4 linked regions of the Arabidopsis thaliana genome follow. The protein of the gene in region 3 interacts with the protein of the main gene of each other region in a pairwise test. Each region holds a gene or a part of one and is shown on either strand. Other genes may lie near its edges. The genes, in order: VP2, AT4G10080, AT2G01175 and AT3G46890.

What was found.
Region 1: the proteins of AT2G01175 (region 3) and VP2 interact in a protein complementation assay, tested with the Arabidopsis thaliana proteins (one large-scale study listed by BioGRID).
Region 2: the proteins of AT2G01175 (region 3) and AT4G10080 interact in a protein complementation assay, tested with the Arabidopsis thaliana proteins (one large-scale study listed by BioGRID).
Region 4: the proteins of AT2G01175 (region 3) and AT3G46890 interact in a protein complementation assay, tested with the Arabidopsis thaliana proteins (one large-scale study listed by BioGRID).

Annotation. Positions count from the first base shown.
Region 1 is NC_003070.9:29,669,272-29,678,094, forward strand, and holds VP2 (vacuolar H+-pyrophosphatase 2), read left to right. Parts: upstream 1-2,223; 5' UTR 2,224-2,420; intron 2,421-2,508; exon of another isoform or gene 2,509-2,720; intron 2,721-2,814; 5' UTR 2,815-3,068; coding exon 3,069-3,167; intron 3,168-3,337; coding exon 3,338-3,541; intron 3,542-3,651; coding exon 3,652-3,803; intron 3,804-3,891; coding exon 3,892-4,039; intron 4,040-4,115; coding exon 4,116-4,248; intron 4,249-4,569; coding exon 4,570-4,742; intron 4,743-4,891; coding exon 4,892-5,012; intron 5,013-5,504; coding exon 5,505-5,692; intron 5,693-5,872; coding exon 5,873-6,310; intron 6,311-6,390; coding exon 6,391-6,555; intron 6,556-6,631; coding exon 6,632-6,787; intron 6,788-6,872; coding exon 6,873-6,984; intron 6,985-7,084; coding exon 7,085-7,304; intron 7,305-7,390; coding exon 7,391-7,490; 3' UTR 7,491-7,560; exon of another isoform or gene 7,561-7,677; coding exon of another isoform or gene 7,678-8,147; 3' UTR 8,148-8,244; downstream 8,245-8,823. Other genes in the region: AT1G78915 (Tetratricopeptide repeat (TPR)-like superfamily protein), read right to left, coding at 191-253, 355-424, 480-530, 649-728, 843-948, 1,218-1,305, 1,467-1,504, 1,590-1,618 and 1 more; AT1G78922 (uncharacterized protein), read right to left, coding at 7,678-8,147, 8,245-8,345, 8,447-8,544. UniProt on the Arabidopsis thaliana protein: Pyrophosphatase active in both inorganic pyrophosphate hydrolysis and H(+) translocation.
Region 2 is NC_003075.7:6,298,991-6,304,889, forward strand, and holds AT4G10080 (uncharacterized protein), read right to left. Parts: upstream 3,755-5,899; 5' UTR 3,571-3,754; coding exon 2,719-3,570; intron 1,590-2,718; coding exon 1,464-1,589; 3' UTR 1,029-1,463; downstream 1-1,028. Other genes in the region: AT4G10070 (KH domain-containing protein), read right to left, coding at 69-460, 604-769.
Region 3 is NC_003071.7:103,488-108,143, reverse strand, and holds AT2G01175 (uncharacterized protein), read left to right. Parts: upstream 1-1,852; 5' UTR 1,853-2,072; intron 2,073-2,348; 5' UTR 2,349-2,383; coding exon 2,384-2,572; 3' UTR 2,573-3,260; downstream 3,261-4,656. Other genes in the region: PAP1 (phosphatidic acid phosphatase 1), read left to right, coding at 30-962; BAT1 (bidirectional amino acid transporter 1), read left to right, coding at 3,682-3,782, 3,851-4,111, 4,200-4,218, 4,302-4,521, 4,601-4,656.
Region 4 is NC_003074.8:17,265,244-17,269,225, reverse strand, and holds AT3G46890 (maternal effect embryo arrest protein), read left to right. Parts: upstream 1-2,097; 5' UTR 2,098-2,195; coding exon 2,196-2,810; 3' UTR 2,811-2,885; downstream 2,886-3,982. Other genes in the region: COPT2 (copper transporter 2), read right to left, coding at 1-339; AT3G46880 (uncharacterized protein), read right to left, coding at 2,960-3,043, 3,140-3,256, 3,326-3,426, 3,683-3,725, 3,817-3,933.

The sequences.
Region 1 (8,823 bases), on a different chromosome or scaffold from region 3:
TCGGTGAATCAGTTAATGCAAACAGAAAAGTTCCATGCAATTTAAGATGTGGAGGTAAGAACTGTTACATACTACCTGATTATTAGTTTAAGTTGTTCCTTGTTACTATTGGAAGCCTACAGATGAATGGCTAAATGCCGATGAAGAAGATATTTAATAGTATGCACAACATGCGCATGTTATCACTCACCTCCAGAGCAGCTTGATCCTGAGGCGTGCCATTGAGAGTTGTTTCAAACTCTTTGAGCCTTTGCTGCAAAATGAAAAAAAATCGAGATGTTTACTACGTATCTTACTTTATTCAGATTATCAAAGTTCATGAACGAAATCTTCATGATCAGCCCCTAATATTACCTGAAGCGTGGCTTTCTCTTCTTCTGAAATTTGATTTTTAACTACTGTTGTGTTCTTAGTTGGACTATCACTGAAAAGTGGTAAAAACATTGTTAGAACTGACACCGGCTAAATTACATGACAACATGACTTGGTATGACAAAAATGTGAAATTACGGAAACCAACCCAGCTGATCCTAAGAACATATGATGTCATCAGAATCTTTACACAAACAATTACAAACTGGAATAAAAAGAAGGAAAATGACAAACAGTAACATGGTGTAAATGACACAGTTATGACTTGGACTTCACTTAACGCACCTTCCCGTGGGAAGAAAGTCACCAAGAGCAAAAACCAAACCAAATACAACAACAGCTATGCCAACTCCAACCTGTCATGGCATGGGCCCAAGTTTTGTCATGTTATGTATGAGTAGCTTATAGGCCTCAAGTGGTTTTAGAACAAAATAAAAAATAAACACTTGCAAGATGTTATGTATGCGTACCTTAGTACCAAGACCAATTGTTTTCTGGTCAGACTTGACTGGTGCATCATAGTCAATTGGACCAAATTCTTTAACTACTTCTGTCTTTTTCTGCTCAAGAGCTGACCTGATTCATCAAAAGAGCAGAGGTCACAGAAATAACATTCCGATCAGTGGGAGGACAATGATCTTGACTATGTCTAGGGGGTGAGGGAAGTGGAAAGCAAGACAAGTGATGAACAAATCAAGAAAAAAAAAGAATCAAACTTTCATAGGAAGATCATGTCGTTGTGGGTATAATGAGAAAGTCAAGTGTGATTGTCAGAGGAATAATCCTATTGTAACCTATATATCTCTAAAGCCAATCTTCATGCTAGAATCATAAAACATAGGTACCTTCTGATGTTTTCCAGCCGTTCATCGAAGTCTATATCAAAAGATCGACCAGATTTTCCTTCAAACTGAGTATTCAGACCAGGTGCCTCTGCAAACAAATGCAGGAGTTTCTTGAGCAAACCTTTCAATTGAAACCAACTTTTTGAGATAAACTGAAGAATGCAAAAATGAAGTTATGTTCGAGACACCATGAAGGAGAGCAGCAACATCTGTTACGTACAATATGCTTTAAAATCAAATTATACTTACTTCTGGGTACAGAAACAGACTGTTTAGAAGATGATTTCCTGCAGCAAAGAAGTCCATATGAAAATATAACAACAGCAATTTAAAATTCTAAATGCTTTAAACAAACACAAAAACTATTTATACCTTTGCTGCAATGCCGGGTCTTTCTCTTCCTGTGATGCGATTTCACATTTTTGTCTCAGTACTTTGAATCAACAAAATTAAGTTGAACAAAGAAGAATTTGGAATCAAACCTTTTTTGAGCCGAAGCCACGCTTAGGGTTAGAATCCGAGCAACGTATTCGAAATAGGAGAAGCTTCGAGTTAAATGAAACGGAGGTCGTCGCCGCTAGTGTCATCAACATCCTCTGTTTGTATTGTCCTAACCAAAACAGAGAATTTTCTAAGAAAGTTTCAAAGAAATAATGAGAAGTAACGGCTACGAAGAGAAATTCGTCCGCCGGAGATTGACGATGAAAGGTGAGCTCCGTGATCGGGCCGGTAAGATAACGTTAGTGGTTCTTCTTCTTCTTCACTTTGCAGATTGTCTATTATATGGGCCGAATGGCAAAACATAATTTTGGGCTAGGCCCATATAATATTCAAATGTTAATATTCCAAAATTGATGGGTATTTTTGATAATTTAACTCGATCTATATAATTTAACAAACGAGGATGATTTTAAGTTTTTAACTTTTTAAGTGAGAATAGTGATTAAGTGTCAACGACTCATTGGATAGGATGTGTCATAAAATTAGTATTGAACCACTGAGGAGTGAAAATAAAATTAAAGGTAGAAAAATTAATTTAGGAAAAAAATATTCGGAAAGTTCTGTGAAAAGTCTTCGGATTTAGAACGGAGACAGCGAGAGGATAGAGCGCTTCTTCGGCTACAACAAGCTTTCGCTAATGGCGGTTTCCTTCTGATCACTCTCACCGGAGCCGTCATCTTCTCTGTTTTACCGATTTTTAGGGTTTGTTTCCGGATAAACTCTTCGTATGCTTTTTTTTTTTCGTTGGATTCGTTTCTGGAAACGTATCCATTTCCTGTCTAGAGATCATGTGAATTTCTCTTAGAACAGAACTCAGATCTAAATTAAAGTAACGGTGCTTGATTCATTAAACTCGGAATGCAAAGTCCCTTGCGTTTTATTCACTGAAATCTTAGTCGATTAGATCTTGAGGTCTGTTTGTTAATCGCACTTTTCTGGGGAATTGATCGTAGAAGCAATTACGCTCATGGGAAATGATGAAAGTTATAGCTAAACTTTACTGTAGAACCTTACTCTGATTATATTTCATTTAAAAATGCTATTTGGTTGGTAAAGAGAAACATCACAACTTTTCATACTTTTCTATTTTTTTCAGAAATTTTGATTGTGGTGGAAACTTGTTGTGGCAACTCTACTGAGAAAGTTTGAAGAAGCTGGAATCAAAGATATAGCTAGAGTTAAGAGGGTTCATACTAACTTGTGCTCGTTTTGTGATGTGCTGTTGTTAACGTTTGGAGGAAAAAGTTGTAGTGTATTAAAATTCAGCGTCCGAGTTCTGGGGCGGAGTTGCCCCATAGCATTGACTTTACGCCTCTACACATAGTCCGAAGGGCTAATTCAGCTCAAAACATGATGATGGATGAAGATGTTGAGCAGGCCAGTTTGATGTCTTTCAATGACAGGCCTAGGGCTTTTCCCAACATGCGTAGTAAAACCTATAGTCCACTGGTACAACTTTTATTCCTCTCTTTCTTGAGTGCTTTTCTTTTTGCTTGCATCAGATCACTGAGATGCGTATTATAACTAGTTTCCTTCTATTTCGTTTAGCATCTTAGTTTCTTGAGCATCTCGTTTTCATTTTCTTTGAAATTGTATAAAGTTTAGTTGTTTTTTGGCAGATATTCCGGATTATTAGGAAATTAAATGTCCGTGTCCTTTCGATAATTCTGCTTTTCTGCTTCGGAGCAATCTTTTACATGGGGGCAAGTACTTCTCCCATCATCGTGTTCGTCTTCACAGTATGCATCATCAGCTTCCTTTTGTCAATATATCTAACCAAGTGGGTTTTAGCGAAAGATGAAGGACCTCCAGAGATGGTTGAGGTAAGCTCACTCAGATTATGTGGTGTTAGTCATGATGTTGACATTTTTCCTTCTTTGTTCTCATCAAAAATTTGTAATTCTAATTTGTGAGGTAATTCTCTTACTTATAGATATCAGATGCTATACGTGATGGAGCTGAAGGTTTTTTCAGAACGCAGTATAGCACTATATCCAAGATGGCCATTTTGCTAGCTTTTGTGATTCTTTGCATATATCTATTCCGTAGCTTAACTCCCCAGCAAGAGGCTGCTGGTTTAGGAAGGTGCTGATACATGATTACATTCACAAGATTTATTTTATCTTTTGAATTGTTGTGAATGAAGCTTAGCCATATTACTATTTTGCTGCAGGGCGATGTCTGCTTATATTACTGTTGCTGCATTTCTTTTGGGGGCTCTATGCTCAGGTATTGCTGGATATGTTGGAATGTGGGTGTCAGTTCGTGCTAATGTGCGGGTCTCCAGTGCTGCCAGACGATCTGCGAGAGAAGCATTGCAGGTTCTTCTTTAGTTTAGCTATTTTGGTAACATGTCATGTACACGTTTCCAAATACTAAGTGGCAGATATAATGCAGATAGCCGTTCGTGCTGGTGGGTTTTCAGCCCTGGTTGTTGTTGGTATGGCTGTGATTGGTATCGCCATCCTCTATTCTACATTTTATGTGTGGTTGGGCGTGGGTTCACCAGGCTCAATGAATGTTACTGACCGTAAGTCTTCTGCTCTTTTTTTTTTATGAAAAATATTCATTTTCGTCTTGTGTGTATATTCTATAATCATTGTACTGAGTTTCAAAAAGTTATTGTTATCTTTTCAAAGGATCATTTTCAGACATGAGCAGTATTTTCTTAAATATGTCATGACTTGTATTAATCTTGATTGAGGTGGGGTACCAATACAGTTCTAAGATTTTCAGTGAACCCTATATGTAATTCTCTTGATTTATTGACCAGAATTTGCATTTGCATGGGCGATAGTGGAGCTATTAAACTTGTAAGATTTATTGATTGAATTTTCTGTTTCTCTTACAGTACCTCTTCTTCTTGTCGGATATGGTTTTGGTGCTTCGTTTGTTGCCTTATTTGCTCAGTTGGGTGGTGGAATATATACTAAGGGAGCTGATGTTGGGGCAGATCTCGTTGGGAAAGTTGAGCAGGGAATTCCCGAGGATGATCCTCGAAATCCTGCTGTTATTGCTGATTTGGTATTTGATCTTTGTTCTTTTTGTTTCTTACTTTCTTGATTCTGTGATTCCCAAACGTGACATCCTTGTTTGGGGCATATATCACTCTACAAGGGTTTGCTTGTGTTTTCGTCATTTAGGCATTTAAAGCCATTTTCATCTTCTTGTAGGTTGGAGACAATGTGGGGGACTGTGCTGCTAGAGGTGCTGATTTATTTGAAAGTATAGCTGCAGAAATCATCAGTGCAATGATACTAGGTGGAACAATGGCTAAGAAGTGCAAAATTGAAGGTGCACCATCTCTCTTTAAAGTTACTTCTGGTATATGCAAATATATAACTTATGGTGTGAGTTCCTGACTCATACCGAGAAAATTAAATGAACTGCTAGGATTTTATAATCTGAAATGCAAACTTAGGAAGAGTTGCATAGAGAGTTCAAGCTCGTAAATTACATTCTGTATACAGAATAATCTACGCTTTATTGCATGTTTTGGTCACTCCTTGAGGATTTGAGGGTACATTATTACTTGTTAGGATTTAAAAAGTCGACATAAGTTGTATAGAGTTATTGTTTGAAGCACCTTGTACGAACCTGCTATGCATTGTGTGAAAATTGAAGGAAGACTACTTTTCATGACAGCAAGCTACACTTGGCTGCAGTCAAAAAATTTCAATAACATTACCCATTTCTAGCAGTGGTTGTTAGATATGCGCTGATAAACATCCTATTAAACCTCTTGTTCATGCTTGATACTTACTCAAATCTTTCTCTATTATGCAGATCCATCAGGCTTTATCCTTTTTCCTCTAGTTGTTCATTCTTTTGACTTGATTATATCCTCAATTGGTATTCTATCAATCAAGGGAACACGTGATGCTAGTGTGAAATCTCCGGTAGAGGATCCAATGGCTGTACTTCAGAAAGGATATTCTCTGACAATTATATTAGCTGTTATAACATTTGGCGCGGTAATGTTGTCACACATAACCATTGATTGTCTTGTTCCTTTCATTCTTTTTACAATTAATTCTGCTTTTTATGGGCTTTTTGGTTCAGACTTTTCATTAGCCTACACTAGCCTTGTTATTACTGAAATTTCGAACAAATTCTTTGCTATATTCTTCTGACAGCATTATTTATGTTTGTAGTCGACTCGCTGGCTGCTTTACACTGAACAAGCTCCATCTGCATGGTTCAATTTCGCCCTATGTGGGTTGGTTGGCATCATCACAGCCTATATCTTTGTCTGGATATCCAAATATTATACAGACTATAAGCACGAGCCTGTTCGGACGTTGGCTCTTGCTAGCTCGACTGGTCATGGGACTAATATCATTGCTGGAGTAAGCTTGGGCCTGGAATCAACTGCTCTTCCAGTTTTGACTATAAGTGTAGCTATTATTTCTGCGTATTGGTTGGGCAATACCTCGGGTCTAGTGGACGAAAATGGTATTCCCACTGGAGGTCTATTTGGAACAGCCGTTGCTACAATGGGAATGCTAAGCACTGCAGCTTATGTCCTTACTATGGACATGTTTGGCCCCATAGCTGACAACGCTGGTGGGATTGTCGAGATGAGCCAGCAGGTAAGATGTCACATGATTGGCTTGAAAGGCTCTTATGTTCCATCTTTATTCTATGTAGAAATAATAAATGTTTCGTGCAGCCAGAGAGTGTCCGTGAGATCACTGATCTTCTTGATGCTGTTGGGAACACCACAAAAGCAACAACGAAAGGGTTTGCCATTGGATCTGCTGCACTTGCATCATTCCTTCTCTTTAGTGCGTATATGGACGAGGTTTCAGCGTTTGCTAATGTGTCTTTCAAAGAGGTAGATTTCGTTATGCATCGTTGCTGTATTCTCGATGTTGAGACAACTTCTCATACTCATCCTCGGATAAAATCAGGTTGATATTGCTATCCCAGAAGTGTTCGTTGGTGGATTATTGGGTGCCATGCTTATTTTCCTCTTTAGTGCTTGGGCATGCGCGGCAGTTGGTCGAACTGCACAAGAGGTTGTCAACGAAGTAAGAAGGCAATTTATTGAGAGGCCTGGCATAATGGTGAGCATATTTTTCCTTTTGAGTGCTTCACCTTTTCTTGTGTATTGGCTTGTACCGTTGTTGACTAGCAAATATCTTGTTGCAGGAGTACAAGGAGAAGCCAGATTATAGTCGCTGTGTCGCCATAGTCGCATCTGCAGCTTTAAGAGAAATGATAAAGCCAGGAGCTTTAGCTATTGCATCACCCATTGTAGTTGGTAAGTCAGTAATATCTACTCGTTTTTCTTTACTTACTGTATTGAAAGTTTGAAACCACAACATTGTGACCAAAAACAAACCTCTTGTTCTCTCTTTCAGGTTTGGTGTTTCGAATCTTGGGTTACTACACAGGACAACCTCTGCTCGGAGCAAAAGTTGTAGCTTCTATGCTCATGTTTGCAACAGTTTGTGGTATCTTAATGGCACTTTTCCTAAACACGGCGGGAGGTGCTTGGGACAATGCAAAGAAATACATAGAGACCGGGGCACTTGGGGGCAAAGGAAGTGAAGCTCACAAAGCAGCTGTGACTGGTGATACGTAAGTATTTTCGTTCTACTTCAACACTCATTCAAAGTTATATTCCTGAATACGATTTCTCATTAGAATTCATCTGAAAATTGTAGCGTGGGAGATCCGTTCAAGGACACAGCCGGTCCATCCATTCACGTCCTCATAAAAATGCTTGCGACTATAACTCTCGTCATGGCTCCGGTTTTCCTCTGAAAGTGAACCGTTACTTATCCATCCCGGCTTATTTACTCTCTTGCACATATACAAATAGAGAGGGAGAGAGGTTGGTTATAAAATGATTTACATGGATTAATGGTTTTTGTGTTTCATTTCATCTGAATAAATGAGATAATTCTGTTTTTGAGTTTAGAGACACTCTTTAAGGAATTCTAGAGACATTTTAATCAACCACATCTTTGACTTTGAGAGTCTTTATTTTCCTCGATTTAATCTTTCTAGTACTTCTTCTTACTCTTCTTGATTTGCCTCCAACTCGTACAGACAATTGTCTACTCGGTAGTCTTATGAGACGGCGGTTGTTGCGATTGCTGCCATGATGGTGGTGGCTGTGTTTGCTTCCTAGTCTTCTTCTTCTCTGCTTTGGTCTAATGTTATCTATTCGACTGGGACTGTCCGATGAACTTGATTCATCATCACTCGGATAATCATAGGTCGTAGCTTCTATATCATCGAGACGTTTTCTGCGACGGTTGACCCGATTTATGTTAGTCAAACTGTGACACAAGCAACTAATCATCTCTCCAATGTCGAACCAGTACGCTGCACAAGCGGCACATGACATTTTGCAGATACTTTTCACAACACATTGGCAAATTCCAAGCTTGAACAGGAGGGTGATGAACATCAAAACTGGGAAAAAGAAACAAATACAAAATTATAGAAAACAAAGGAAAGTTCACAGAATCAATAGTGAATGCTAAAAATCGGAAATAAGAGAAAGGTTTACTTATGAAACAGAGGCTTGACATCAGCACAAGCTTTGCAATATCAGGAAGACAGAAATGTTCTATGAAACACTCAAGATCCCATGGTCCCGAGCATACATCTCTGTAATTTTTAAACAGAAGAGAAATCCTCAAAACATGCGATAGAAAAACAAACCAAAGCGATTTCACGACAGAATTCAGACAATGACGTGAAAATCTTACAAACAGGATCTTCCAAGTGTGGCTTTTAACGGTGCTGTGAAAATATTCCCGATAAAACCTCCGATGTCGTTTGATGCTTTGCCTATAGCGTTTCCCATTTTTGCTTAGAACGGTAATCAGTGACTCGCTCCAATCATTTTCTCAACAATCATGTTTATCAAACGTAAAGAGATAAATAAATTTTCTGTGAATTTTCAGAATATGAATGAAGTTACATCCTCGCGTACAGTTTCAGAAACGAAAGAAAAAAAATTGCGAGAAACCGTTTCCAGAGAGAAAATTCGGCATATTTTTCATAATTTTCAATAAACCGTTTGTTTTTTTTGGTCCAAAAACATGGTAGGAATATTTTGAAAACCCTCGAAAACAATTCATAC
Region 2 (5,899 bases), on a different chromosome or scaffold from region 3:
GTCAGTGAAAGTATTCCGAAAGAAAAAAACTCACAGAACAGCCAAAAATGAAAACCAAATCATATCACCTTTGAACTTGGGACATCTATCCTACGAGTTGTCGACTGTGTGCCATCAACCTCCTTCTGAGATTTTTCACCATCCACTTCCTTATTTTCTTCTTTACCATTCTCTTGAGAACTACCATCATTCACTTCCTTACTATCGTCATCAATCACCTTCTGATGTTCACCACCATTGACATCCTCAATACAACCTTGTTGGTTATCCTCAGGCTTAACCTGATCATCTGTTGGCTGATCTACACTACAAATCTTATTTTCAGACTCATCAGCATGAATAGGATCCTGAACTTCCTCAACAAGTGGTACAGAATCTTGATTCTCTTCCTTAGGTTCCTGAAGCTGTTCTTCCTCTTTTACCTCCATTGAAGACCCATTTTCTTGTGTATTCCCATAATCTACAACAAAGGCCGAAGAACAACAATGAGAAAGACTGATTTATCAACAAACTCAAAGAAATCTCTTTTTTTGAAAACTATAACCATAGAACATCATAAAAATCAAAACTTTAGTTTATAAGAAGCCAAAGAGACAGAAACACCTAAACCATCTTGAGCTTCATCTTCTAGCTTCGCTCGTTTAGCCTGAGAAGAATCAGATGTTTGATTGCTATCATCCACGATATTTCCATTAAGCTCAACTTCGTCGAGCTTTCGCTTGAGATCGACAGGCGGCGTAGAGATAACAACAAAATCTTCCTCCGTCATCTGGAAACGAATCGTCCGGCGAGGAATTTAGGGAAAGCTGAGTACTGTAGGGTTTGGGGAAGAAGAGAATTATCTCCGGCAGTGAAAAGAGTTTGGGTTGCGACTCTGAACGGTGGTGGAGAAGTAACGTTTAAGGCTTTAACGTCTATTTATAATGTTCGGGCTTTTATTGGGCCTAAAAATGGGCTACCAGTTTTTTTTTTAAAGTTATCAAAAATAATGATGTTTTCTTTGTTGATCGTCGAGGGGATGTTGTTGAGACGATAGCTTCTACTCAAATTTTGTAGAATCGACAACATAGTAGAAATTTGTAGGGTCTTTATTTCCATTGTAGTGGTTTTATCGACTTTGGACTATGTCCTCCTCTCTATAATAGTTTACAAGCTTGAAACCCCAATGAAATCCATAACAAAACCCACATATAGCTTATGAAATTCTTAAGATCAAACATAGAAAAAGGCTTACCAACTGGGATTTTCAGTCTCTGAACATACATAAATCGCTACGGTAATCACTCTGCAGTGTATCCCACGGTTGGGACACGACTCACATACGCGATTTCATAAGATGGTAAACTACTACTTATGCATAGGTACGACATAAACACATGTATTTGTATTCTTACGGTACATAAAGTGATGGACATTGTATGATTGATTCTCCACTGTGTCTAGGTATTGTAGAAAACGGCTTCTCATCTAAGGCTCAAAACCGGCCATGCGCCAGGCGATGGTAGAGCAGGGCGGATCACAGGGACCCTTCTTACCTCTGTGAACACTTCATTGAGTCGAGCAGCCTGACTCATCACCCGCGACGCCTTCTGCACAGATCATAAACAACCCAAGACGTGATAATGATAGAAGTAAACCAACACCAAACAAATACCAACCAAGCAAAGAGATGTGCGCTAAGGGAAAATATCAAATCACAGCATTTTCAGCGGATGATGCCTCAGTATTTTTGTACTTAATTCAGACAGATTACAAGAACATATTAACTACAAAATCTATATCTTAGAGGGGGGTATTGGACATAAATTCTAGATTTTCAGGTATAATAAAAGAATTTCGAATCTTTCTTCTCAATTCAAATAAATATTTTGCAGTATTTTTAATAGAATTCTACTAGAATTAAGAAGATAAATTACTGAAATCTTTTGTTCCACAATGCTCTTTATCGGGACAGCCACCATGCCCAATCTCTAAAAACTGTACTTTTTCCTTCACAAACCTCTTAACCCAGAAACAATCTACGTTGACGTTTACATGAAATGGAAGAGATCCATATTTTGACAACAACGACAACGACGTCATCACAACCTCCGCTCATCTGCTCTCTATAGATTAACGCACTCTCCTCATATATAATCGAACGAATGATGATCCGAAGAATAAACCGGATCGAAATCACAGATTCTAATAAATGTGTTAAACACTCTCCCTCAGATTTGAGAATTTTTTTTGTATGGTTGAAGCAAATCGATGAAAGAGAAAAAAAGGATGGATGTGTTATATTCTATCCAAATCTCAACTCAAAAACTCAGAATTTGTTCTTCACATTTTAGACCAATTTTTCTATTAAATTCTTGTGAAGTAACGTTGTCAAACAAAACTACCGAAAACTGAATAACACTTGCAACTAATAGAATTAAGAAATGAGCAAGTTAAATAACACAAGAATTTAAAAGAATTTGTGAAATGTCTAATTGAATAACACTAGAATTTAAGATTCTATTGAAGTCTATCAAATTCATGCGTCCAATACCCCCACCTTAATATAAGGCAGGACAAGACAAGAACTAAACTAAACTTGAAATTCTACGGCTCAAGTCAGACCAATTGCATCAACACAACATAGAGTGTAGCTAACTCCTAAAACGTATCAATCTAGACCAGCTTACCAACTTCAAGCAAAATGAAAACACAAGGGTCAATGATAATATAGTGTACCTTATCGTCAATCGTAACTTTAAGATGGAACCTTTGAGCTTTCTTCTTCATATTATACAATCTACGTCCCAAGAGAACCAAACCCATCACAGCAGCAGCCATAGAGACAGACCAAACCGGACCAATCCTAAACACAGAGTACTTAAGAAGCACAAATGGCATCTTCCACCACACAGTCTCTCTACTTTTACCCTCACCACCAGAACTCACGCCTCCAACTTCCACAGTATCTCCTCCACTTCCCTCAATTACTTCACTAGAAGCAACTACACTATCAGAAACAACTTCTTTTTCACCATTCACAACCCCAGAATCTCGAGAAACCAATTCATTTCCCCCTAAATCAGAACACAACTTGCTCGAATCCTCAATAGGTTCTTCAACACCCGATTCGTTCTCACCGTGCCTTCCATCAACGAATTCTTCGAGATTCTCTGTTTCATAGTGAGATACGGTTCCACCAGTTAATTCAGTAGCAGCTTCGCTCTCAACATATTTCTCATTGGCAGCTTCAAAATCACTAAGCCTAACCTCACCATCACCCAAAATTCCAGTTTCTGAATCATAAACCCCAAATTCATTTCTGACACAATCATCACCCGATTGACTAACACTGAACTGATCCAAACCAGAATCAACACTAACCTCACCCGGATTCAGACACTCCGACCCGTAATCAACCCGAAAAGAATCAAAATAACCCGATTCAATCACCCGATCAGTAGCAGAGAAATGATCAGAAAGAATCATACCGTCATCGATTACGCTTGAACTCTCTAATTTCGTCTCCGATGTGATTGAATCAGTTGATTCTGTATCAGAGCCATGATGAAGAAGCTCCCAATCATCCATGATGATCGAATTCGAAGATTTCAGATTGGGATTGCAATAATCAGAAACCCTAATGGATAAAACCCCAAATATTGGAAAAGGATCGCAACAAATTAGAGCGGTTGATGATGGAAAAGAATGGTTCTTATCCACTTTGAGAAAGTAATTACGTGGAGGTATCTAATTGGTTGCGTGTCAATCTCAGTCCTCAACTAAATTTTTTGGCATTAAAGTTTAGTAGATTCAGAGAACTATAGTATTTATTCATTTTGTTCTTTCATTTTTATTTTATTTTTTAAAACGATTTAATTAGGATTCGGCAATAAATCGTATGGTGCGGATCAAATGAATTAAACAAATATGTATCGGTTAAAATAGAGTAGACGATGTAAGAAAAATATATATAATCAAGATTCAAACGGTTGAGGTGGGTTTTGCAAATAAATCCATCGGTAGATTGAAATATTTTCTTATTTATTATTTATAGATTAGTATTTATAATAGTACTGACCAAAAATATAGAAAAAAAAAATCGGTAAAAACTTTAGACCGATTTTATATAGAAATAAATTTAGTTTATAACGGATTATTGTCCGCTCCAAAATTAAATGGTTTAGTCTCTAATAGTTTAGTTTGTTTCGAAAAGAATGGTTCTTATCCACTTTGAGGAAGTAGTTATGTAGAGGTATCTAATTGGTCACGTAACATTCTCAGTACTCAACTAGATCTTTTGACATTAAAGGTTGGTAGATTGAGAGAAGTATGGTATTTATTCCTTTTGTTCTTTCATTTTTTTGGTTTTTCACAATGATTTAATTAGGGTTCACGACGAATCGTATGGTGCAGATCAAATGAATTAATCAAATACTAGATGATTTACCCGAACTATGTACAGGGAGAAATAGTTATATGAAATATATAAACAAGTTTTTGGAAACAGATTTTATATTATCACTTGATATATAAGTGTGAATATTTGAATATGATTTAGTAACTGATATATTTTGGAGATTTTATTAGTTAGGAATTAGGATATTCTATATTTGGAATAAGATTTTAAATTAAAATATTGACCCAAAAGAAAATCTGAAATATCATTCCTATAATTCAGAAATATATTCGAATATTTTTTGTATTTTATAAGATTTTATTTTGGAAACAATTCAATATAAAAACTGAAAAGAGTATGAATAATTATGTTTTAAACGTAATAAATTTTTGATTATCTTTTATTATTCTTCATAATTCTATGTAGTTAGGATTGATTTATTGCATATCCCTTATTTTATTAATCAATTTATATTGTTACGATAAGGTTTTGGGTTGTAAATAAATTTTAACTAAAATGAGTAAATGACTAATTAAATTGAATAAACTGTGTAAAAGTTTTAATAAATTGATAAGGTAAAAATTTGAAAAGAAATAATATTGAAAGTAATCAGTAAGCGGATACATTTTTAACATAGATTAATATTGAAATATTGTTCATAGTGAATGTGTAATAAATGAAATGTTACTAACTAATTTATGTAAAACTATGTTCCGAATATATTCAAGAATCATATGGGCTCACATATACATTTAGATTTTTTGCAATTTATAACAAAAAAATAGAATGTCATATATGTTAAAATTCTAAATGTTTTCTATAAAACCTAAAAAAATAAAGTACGAAACATATAATAAACATTTATATTATATGTTGTTCATCATAATTTATGATATATACTTTTTACTTGTTTGCTCAAATATATATGGTTTTTTGATTAATTTTCTTTATTAATTGCTACTCTCTTAAATGTAGAGGAAAAATATGCATAAGTACCACTAATGGCATTATATGTAATTAGTCTAGTAAATATTGGATAACTATTAAGTTTGTTGAAAGTTTTTCTGGTTACGACATGTCAGCATGATAGTCTTGTAAATCACACGTGAATGTAAGGTTTTTTATTTAAAATACTTCTCAATTAATATATAGGGGATGTATCAGTTAAAATAGAGTAGACGGTCTAAAACCATCTCCAATGCACACCTCTATTTTTTTCTTTCATTTTAGAGACAAATTTATTTTAGAGGAAATTAGATTTTGCTCCAATGTATTCTTCTAAAATAGTTTTTTTCTCCAAAATAGAGAAAATAAATAGATTTTACTCTTTATATAGATTAAAACGTAAGATTCCTTTATTTTAGAGAAAAATCTATTTTAGAGACATATATTGAAGCAAAATGTATCTAACATAGAATCACCTCTAAATGGAGAAAAAAAATAGAGATGGACATTGGAGATGTTTAGAAGAATATAGATTCGAGCGGTTGAGGCGAATAAATCTTTCTGTAGATTGAAATG
Region 3 (4,656 bases):
GTGATGATTGTTTGTGTTTTTGGTGGCAGGACCAGGAGGCGCAGAGAGGGAGGATGCAGGAGATAGATCTTAGTGTTCACACTATAAAGTCCCATGGAGGAAGAGTCGCTTCTAAACACAAGCACGATTGGATCATACTCGTCATCTTGATTGCCATCGAGATAGGCTTGAACCTCATCTCTCCTTTCTACCGCTACGTGGGAAAAGACATGATGACTGACCTCAAGTACCCTTTCAAGGACAACACCGTACCTATCTGGTCTGTCCCTGTGTACGCTGTGCTTCTTCCCATCATAGTGTTCGTCTGCTTCTACCTGAAGAGGACATGTGTGTACGATCTGCACCACAGCATCCTCGGGCTGCTCTTCGCCGTCTTGATAACTGGTGTCATCACTGACTCCATCAAGGTAGCCACCGGACGCCCTCGTCCTAACTTCTACTGGCGCTGCTTCCCCGACGGCAAAGAGCTGTATGATGCGTTGGGAGGTGTGGTATGCCACGGCAAGGCAGCTGAGGTCAAGGAAGGCCACAAGAGCTTCCCGAGCGGACACACTTCCTGGTCCTTTGCGGGGCTTACATTCCTTTCCCTTTACCTCTCTGGCAAAATCAAGGCCTTCAACAATGAAGGACATGTGGCGAAACTCTGCCTCGTGATCTTCCCTCTGCTTGCCGCTTGTCTTGTGGGGATATCTCGTGTGGATGACTACTGGCACCACTGGCAAGATGTCTTCGCAGGAGCTCTCATTGGCACCCTTGTAGCCGCCTTCTGCTACCGTCAGTTCTACCCCAACCCTTACCACGAAGAAGGATGGGGTCCCTACGCCTATTTCAAGGCAGCTCAAGAACGAGGAGTCCCTGTGACCTCCTCCCAAAACGGAGATGCCTTGAGGGCTATGTCTCTGCAGATGGATTCAACATCTCTCGAAAACATGGAATCTGGCACTTCCACCGCTCCCAGATGATCCTCCTCTCTTATTATTTGATTCATTATTTGGTTTTTCATTTTGATTTGGCCGTCGTCGTGAGATTGTGAATGGTGTAGCTACATACTGTATGTGTATTCAAAACTCTACTTGTACCATTACATTTTTGTAAATCCACTCTTCATGAAATTGACGTTTTTCTGGTGTCCGAGAGGCTTGGGTCGCTCGAATAATCTCGTCCAATAGACTAATACGGCTCTAGTGAACACGGTATTTACATGTTTGTGATCTAAACTGAAATCAGTTATTTCTTAATTCGTAATCATTCTTGGGTTAACATTTTCTCTTATAATCTGATGGTTGAAGATGGCAAAGCCATTGTTAGCATAGCCATAGCTGGTTCAATCATCCACAACACTAAATTACTCGAGCTCTCCACATGCGTAATCTCTCTTTCTCTCTATTTCTCCCTTCGTTTCTCTCATTCTTCTTCTTCTTTTAATTTCTGGGTAGCTATTATTTTAGTGTAGAACAAAGTTTGACACTTGTGCTTACGCACATGCGCTGCCAACTATGCTGCAGGTATTAAATCAGTTCTGAAAATATTGAAGCACAACTGGAAACCGTTTCTTTTGTGCACTCAAGATATTAAAATGGTTCTCTGTTTCTGAAAATATTGGAACAGAACTGAAAACTGTGTTTTTGTCATGCTAGCGTATTGTTATATTGTGTTTTATTGAGCAAATGATGATACTAGCAATTCAAATTTCATCTCTTCTCTTTGTTATTATGAATTTCATGCTTGTATTGGAAGACATTATTTTGCAAAAATTTGATTTTTGTTTACTCAAGGACCCATTGTTTCTTAACCATTGGAGTAGAAATTTGTTAAAGACTCTTATTAGTTTCTTAACTTACAAAAAGCAAAATTTTAATAAAAAAAAAAAAGTTAAGGATCATGGTTAAGGACCTAACCAATGGGGATGGTCTTAGCTTCTGATCTCACTGGTCTTTGTTCGATTGAATCAATCCAAGTTTCGTAAGTGGTGATGGTAGGTAATCGGAGCAGCAGCGCATGTAACCATCGGCAGTTGTCGAAAGCTTGTATAGTCACATACCTCCCTCATCGTCTCTTCTCAGTGTCGCCAGGTAAATCTTCTCAATCGTTTCTTTTGTATATTACTCATAGAGTCGTGCGCTGTCTCTCCCTGAGAAGGTTCAATCGATTTCTTCCGATTGATGATTGATGTATCATAATCAGAACAAAGGTTATATTTCTGAATTGGATGTGTCTCTGAAATTATAGCGGATGTTGTATGTATGGGAACACAAGAGACCAATGATGATGCTAATGTTTGATTGTCATCATTGATTAAGTGAACTAATCAAGCAGAACCATGATTTGTTTTACTTTGTTGGTGCTAGTGGTTTGGGGCTATCTCTGTTTCTAATTCGTATATATGTTATGGAGGTTAAGAGGACTCTTCAAGCTTTATGGGCACTTGGGTTTCTTGGTTCTTTGGCTACTTGTGCAGCCCTTGCTAGACCAGCCGGTGATAACTTGGTTCATTATGTCGTTGATCATCCATCTGCTGTTTGGTTTGTTGGTCCCCTTTTTCAAAGAAGGTAAATATCTTGCTTCTGCATAAGGCTTCAGATAATGATTTATTGTTCTTAATCAATGAGCATATATGATTTATGTTTGTGGTCTACGAAATTAGTGTATTTTTAGATGTGTTATGTAATGTTGAACAACATCACTAGATTTGTTTTGTGTGTCTCATGTTAGAGGATTTTTGGCTTCGGTTTGTTTGTTTCTTTCTTCTGAAACACTTTTGTGTCAAGTCTTTAATCTTCTCTGTCTCTCTAATGTTATGAAGAAGGAGAGTTCAAAGATTGTGGTTATATAATGTTTTAGCATTACGAGTGGTTAACAAGAGTTAGTTAATGTGTTATAAATTCTGTTGCACGGATGAGAGTCTGATAAAATGGAATTCAAATCAGAGAAACCAGGTTCAGTTTTTCCTCTCAATATTGCATCAAATCTTTTTTAGTTTGTTTTGGATAGCAAATCTTTGATTGTTAGTCTCGAGACTAACATGATTTTGTGGATCGTGGTAACATAACCACAAAGTTGTCTATTTTATGATTTGAACATTCTACACAGTCATCCTCATCAGTGGCAAATTAACCAGGTTTGTGTATCAAAGAGTAGGCCATGTTCTGAGTATCTTCAAGAAGAGGATGATGTTTTTTTGTATAGTTTTTGTCTTTGATATGTTTTCAAATGAATCTTGTATACTTTGTCATATTTATTGTCATGAATCTTTGTTATTCAAAATGTGTTTATCAAAAATGTATCAAATTTTTTGTATAGTTTGTCTTCTCTATCTTTCTTTTCAAGCAATCTAAACTCAAATACCAAAATATTTTTTCAAATTTGTCTTTCTTAAGAATTCCTACTATTGGACATGAATATTTTTGAGAGTCCCTAAGCTAGTCCTTAGCTTTATATTTGTCAAAATTTATATTAGAAAATTCTTAAGGATTCCTTAAGGATCTTAACCATTGGGGTTGCTTATTAGTTTTTTTATATTACTTGAATTACATATTTATTTAGTTTAAAGAATAAATAATAATAAAAAGACAGTTTGGAGGGGTATGTAAAAAGTAATATAACAGAAAAATAAATATCTTGTCTGAATCAGAGAGAGAGCTCTCAACAACCAAAGCTTTGGACTCTCAGGCCAGGAAGACTATGGGATTGGGCGGCGATCAATCCTTTGTTCCCGTCATGGATTCCGGCCAAGTCCGCCTCAAGGAGCTCGGCTACAAGCAAGAGCTCAAGCGCGATCTCTCGTCTGTCTCCGCCACTCTTTCCTTTTTCTTCTTTGATTTGTGTTAGCTAAACAATTGTTAGATTTCAGGGTCTTCTCCAATTTCGCCATCTCCTTCTCCATCATATCGGTGCTCACTGGTATCACCACCACCTACAACACCGGCTTAAGATTCGGCGGCACTGTCACTCTGGTCTACGGATGGTTCCTGGCCGGCTCCTTCACAATGTGCGTTGGGTTATCTATGGCCGAGATCTGCTCCTCTTACCCTACCTCCGGTGGTCTCTACTACTGGAGTGCTATGCTCGCTGGCCCTCGTTGGGCTCCTCTTGCCTCTTGGATGACTGGCTGGTACTCCCTTCTCTCACCTTTTTCTTAATTTGGAATTGGAAGCAAGAGAGCGTCTCTCTCTGACTCATTTTCACAAATCTTTTTTCAGGTTCAACATCGTTGGTCAGGTGCAACATTCATTCAAGCAGACTTGTTTTCATTAGATATATCTCTCATTGGGGCTAAAAGTAAGGTTGTGGTGTGTTTGCAGTGGGCAGTGACGGCCAGCGTTGACTTCTCTCTGGCACAGTTGATTCAGGTGATCGTCCTTCTCTCCACCGGCGGTAGAAACGGCGGCGGTTATAAAGGATCAGACTTTGTTGTGATTGGTATCCATGGTGGGATCCTCTTCATCCACGCTCTTCTCAACAGCCTCCCCATCTCCGTCTTGTCTTTCATTGGACAGCTTGCTGCTCTTTGGAATCTCCTCGGTACCCAATCTCTCTTTTGTCTCTGTGTTTCATGTCATGTCTCAACAACAATCATCAATCAAGCATCTCTTATATTCAGGGGTTTTGGTGCTCATGATTCTGATTCCTTTGGTTTCTACGGAAAGAGCAACCACT
Region 4 (3,982 bases), on a different chromosome or scaffold from region 3:
AAAGGACATAACAGCGAGCATCACCAAATACGAAAGGCCAGTCTTGAGTGTGTACACAGCGGTTTGAGCGAGCCCGGCGGCTCGATTGGTTGAGCCACTGACACGTAGGATCGGTGAATGAGCGAGCCACTCGGCAATTACGGCGAGGAGGAATATAACAATGAGACAGAGAGCGTACATGCCGGAGCTTGTCCCGGGCCATCCGGAGAAGAGAACCTCCGTGTTCTTACCCCAAAAGAAGGTCATGTGCATCATCATCATGTGTGGTGTTGTATGATTCGACATCGATGATGATGATGGTGATGGTGGTGGCATGTCATGCATGTGATCATGATCCATGATACTAATGTTAATAGGGTTTATGATTGATTTTCTTGTAGACAAAATTTTTAAGAGAGAATCGGTTCGTATTTATTGTGATTTCTTAAATGTATGTGTTGTACTGTAGTACAAGTACATCATCTTTTGACTTGTTAAATTTTTTTGTGTAGTACAAACATTCGTTATATTAGAATTTAGAAAATCCCCTTAAATAGATGTTCAAAAGAAAGACAACTATATAATCCCCTAAATATATATATAGTATTTACCTTATTTGCATGATACAACATTACAACTCCATGCCTCTTCGTCTAATCTTCTTTGCGTTGGTATAATAAATAATTTACACAGAATATCTAATTTTAATTTAGAATAAATCTAATAATTTGAAAAGAATTTATACAAATGTAATTAAGGATTTAGTAACTTAGGTTTCAAAACCAAAATTAAGGAGGTGTTATTGGTTTGTTATTTATATAGATTTTTAGTGGTTTGAAATGTTATGAAAAATCTTTTGTTATTCAATTAAGATTTTATAAGATTCTATTAAAGTTTAGTGTTATTAAATTTTGATTTGTAAAAAGTAATCTAAAGTCTTAATAAATCTGAAGTTATTGGATTCATAATTTAATAAAGTCATCAATTTTTTTGTGATATTCAACTAAAAACAAAAGAATCTATGATTGTTAATGATTTAAATTATTGTATTATTGGTTTATAATTTTATACACTTTTATTCACAAAACAAAATCATGAAAATATCATAAAAAGTGAGCGATTGTGAATCATAACTTTGTATATAAACAAAGACCAATGATAAACCATCGTGAAGAATGACCATAGATTATCACAAGCCTCAAAACCTCACGACACAGTTTGTATTGACCTTTTTCCTTACTCTTTTGGGAATTCCCCATAAACTAAGCATATATGTATAGATAGTAATAAGAAAAAAAATTGATAATCACTAGAATTTTAATCATAAAAAAAAAATATACAAAACCAAAACACTCAAACACAAAGAAGACAATAGTATATGAACACACAAATTAAGAAGATGAATTAGGAAAATTTGAAAACTTACGTATTAACAAAATCGTAGTGGAATATTTTGGGAGAGTACACTTTTTGACAATCAATACTTACGTTTTTTATAAAGAAAGCCTAAAATAATAATATCATTTTGGTGAAAATAGTATTTATAGAAGATGAGAAAATATTATCCAATATTTTAGAGATATGTTCTAATAATAATTGTTGCAAAAGCTTTAACACCACTTAAAGTCTCAATTACATGGCTTTAGATAAAAATGAAGTTACAGAGAGTAAAAAAAAATCTGACTTTTAAGACTGTATAAGAGCAAAAACAAATAACAGTCTGATTGTATGAAAAAATGCTGTAAGGACTGTCAAATGCTTTTAAAGTCTTGACAGTGCGATGTCAATCACCCTCTAAGAGATAAAAATAATTAATGACAAAGTTTGTAATTATATTTAGACAGATTTTACAAGATTATATGAAGATTTTACAAAATTATAGAAAAGCTAATCATAGAGATTATATAAAATTCTCTAATTAGTGTTGTTGGGTAAAAGACAAAAAAAAATATGACCTCTACGACGACGTATCGATACAAAAGCCCAAAAAAGAAAAAAGGTTCGATACCTTGCGGTTCACGTTTCCTATCATTACCTGTCCGTCGTTTTCTTCCTCGGAGACGTCACGCAATACTTAGCTTCTACGCTACTCACATTTTCCCACAGTCTCCGGAAAACTGACAACTAAAAGCTAAACTTTCTCTAAATATGAATTACTAAATTTCTATCTCTCTCAATCAAAATTGTTGTCTAGGAGCTATAACGATTCAGATTTGATGGCAATCTCCAATGGCGCCGTGGAATTTCTCCGGCGACGACTCCTCCCAACTACACTAATCCACGTCACGGCTATAGACGGCATCGTGAACGTTAATTCACTCTTCTCGCTTGCTCTTTTCCTCGGCCTAACCACAAGTGGAAACATCACTTTCCCGGTTTCCTCATCAGCCTCCGAGAACCACCATCTCCGCCGATGTATCTCTGCAAAAGGTCCCGCATTAGCGGAGAGGCTAGTATCAAGCCATGTTTACTCCTTCAGTTTATTCCTCTTCTCCAGTCTCATCGCTATGTCTCTCAAGCAAGCAATTAGGACAACAACAACAACAACAAACGGGAACTGTTTAGAGGAGGAGGCGCGTGTGTTGAACGCGGGAGAGGGGCGTGTGAACTTGGCAGCTTTAAGGGTTGGGATTGTTGCTTCGTGTGTTGCGTCGGTTTTGGGATGTGGGTTCTTGACAATGGCGTTAGTGGATCTTGTTCAGATTAAACTTGGACCTTTGGAATGTAAGAGAAGCTTTCATGCACTTGCAGCTATTGTTCCTCTTGTTGTACTTGTTCCTTCTGCACTTATTATCTATGTGTTCCTTGTGCTCTACGCATTTATCTATTAACCCTTTTTTGGGTTTCTACAATCTCTTGTCTGATGGATTTGAGGTTTCAGATTCGATTAGTTCTGTAGCCAGAGATCTAATCTTTGGTTTAACATTAGACAGTCAAGTATACATCATTGAAACAGTTTTTTTAAGAACAAACAAAATGTTCAAACAATCAAATATTGTTCTGTTTCAACTTGATATTCTTCTACAGAGACGCACTTAGAGAAGCTTCTAGTAATATAGTGAACCTGCGAAAATATCAAGATTAGGCATATGTTATAAGCAAAACAAACAAAGACGTGAATATTGTAACAAACATCATTTGGTTAGGGTATGTATAGTACCTTGCCACCAGTTTCCTCTAGAGGCGTCAGACGAATTGGCATCGTTGTTATCTCTGTTCTGATCCTTGTTAATCTGAATGATTCAACGTTTTGTAAAGTCAAAAGATTTTGTCTCTTCTATGAAAAAATCAACAATCAAAGTAACATGAAGGGGTGGATGATAAAATGATAGTTATGTTAACTCACTGTAGGGTAAGTATGGTTGTGTGTGGGGTGAGAGTAAACATCTTGACCACCGTAGTAAAGAGATGAGCTTAGATTGCAGGTTCCAGCTTCTTTACGTTGTTCTGTGAAGAAACCACGAAAACCAAGGAGATAATGTATCCATTAGACCACCCGGATTTGGATAGTAATCTTGACTAAAGAACGGTGAATCTTAGATGAAGAATTTTTGAGCCGTTCTTGGCATGAGATAGAAGGTTTTTTGAGATGAATCAAAACGTTTTTCTAGTAAAACCTGGCTTAATATAAAGTGAAAGGAACCATATTGATTCAAGAAGGGAGACAAGTTTTCTGAGGCTTAATTAAGACTTTTCCACTGACCTAGGGACCCATGTTTGGAGCTTAGGATGTTTCTTGCTGTTCCCTGAAAACACGAAAAAAATGAGAAAGGAAGAATGAATTTCAAGAATCCATCATAAAAAGTAACAGAAGAAACTATAGAGAAATAATCGAACCTTGGAAGGAGGGAAAATGGAGTTGAAGTTGGCAGAGGAGGAAGGTTCCTTGGGGCCAAAGAGTTGAGCTGTGAAGGAAGAAGACGATGATGATCCAACTCTTCCTTTACCCTCCATTACTAAGAGAAATGTGTTATTAACTAATCACTTAGAAGGAAATGAAAAG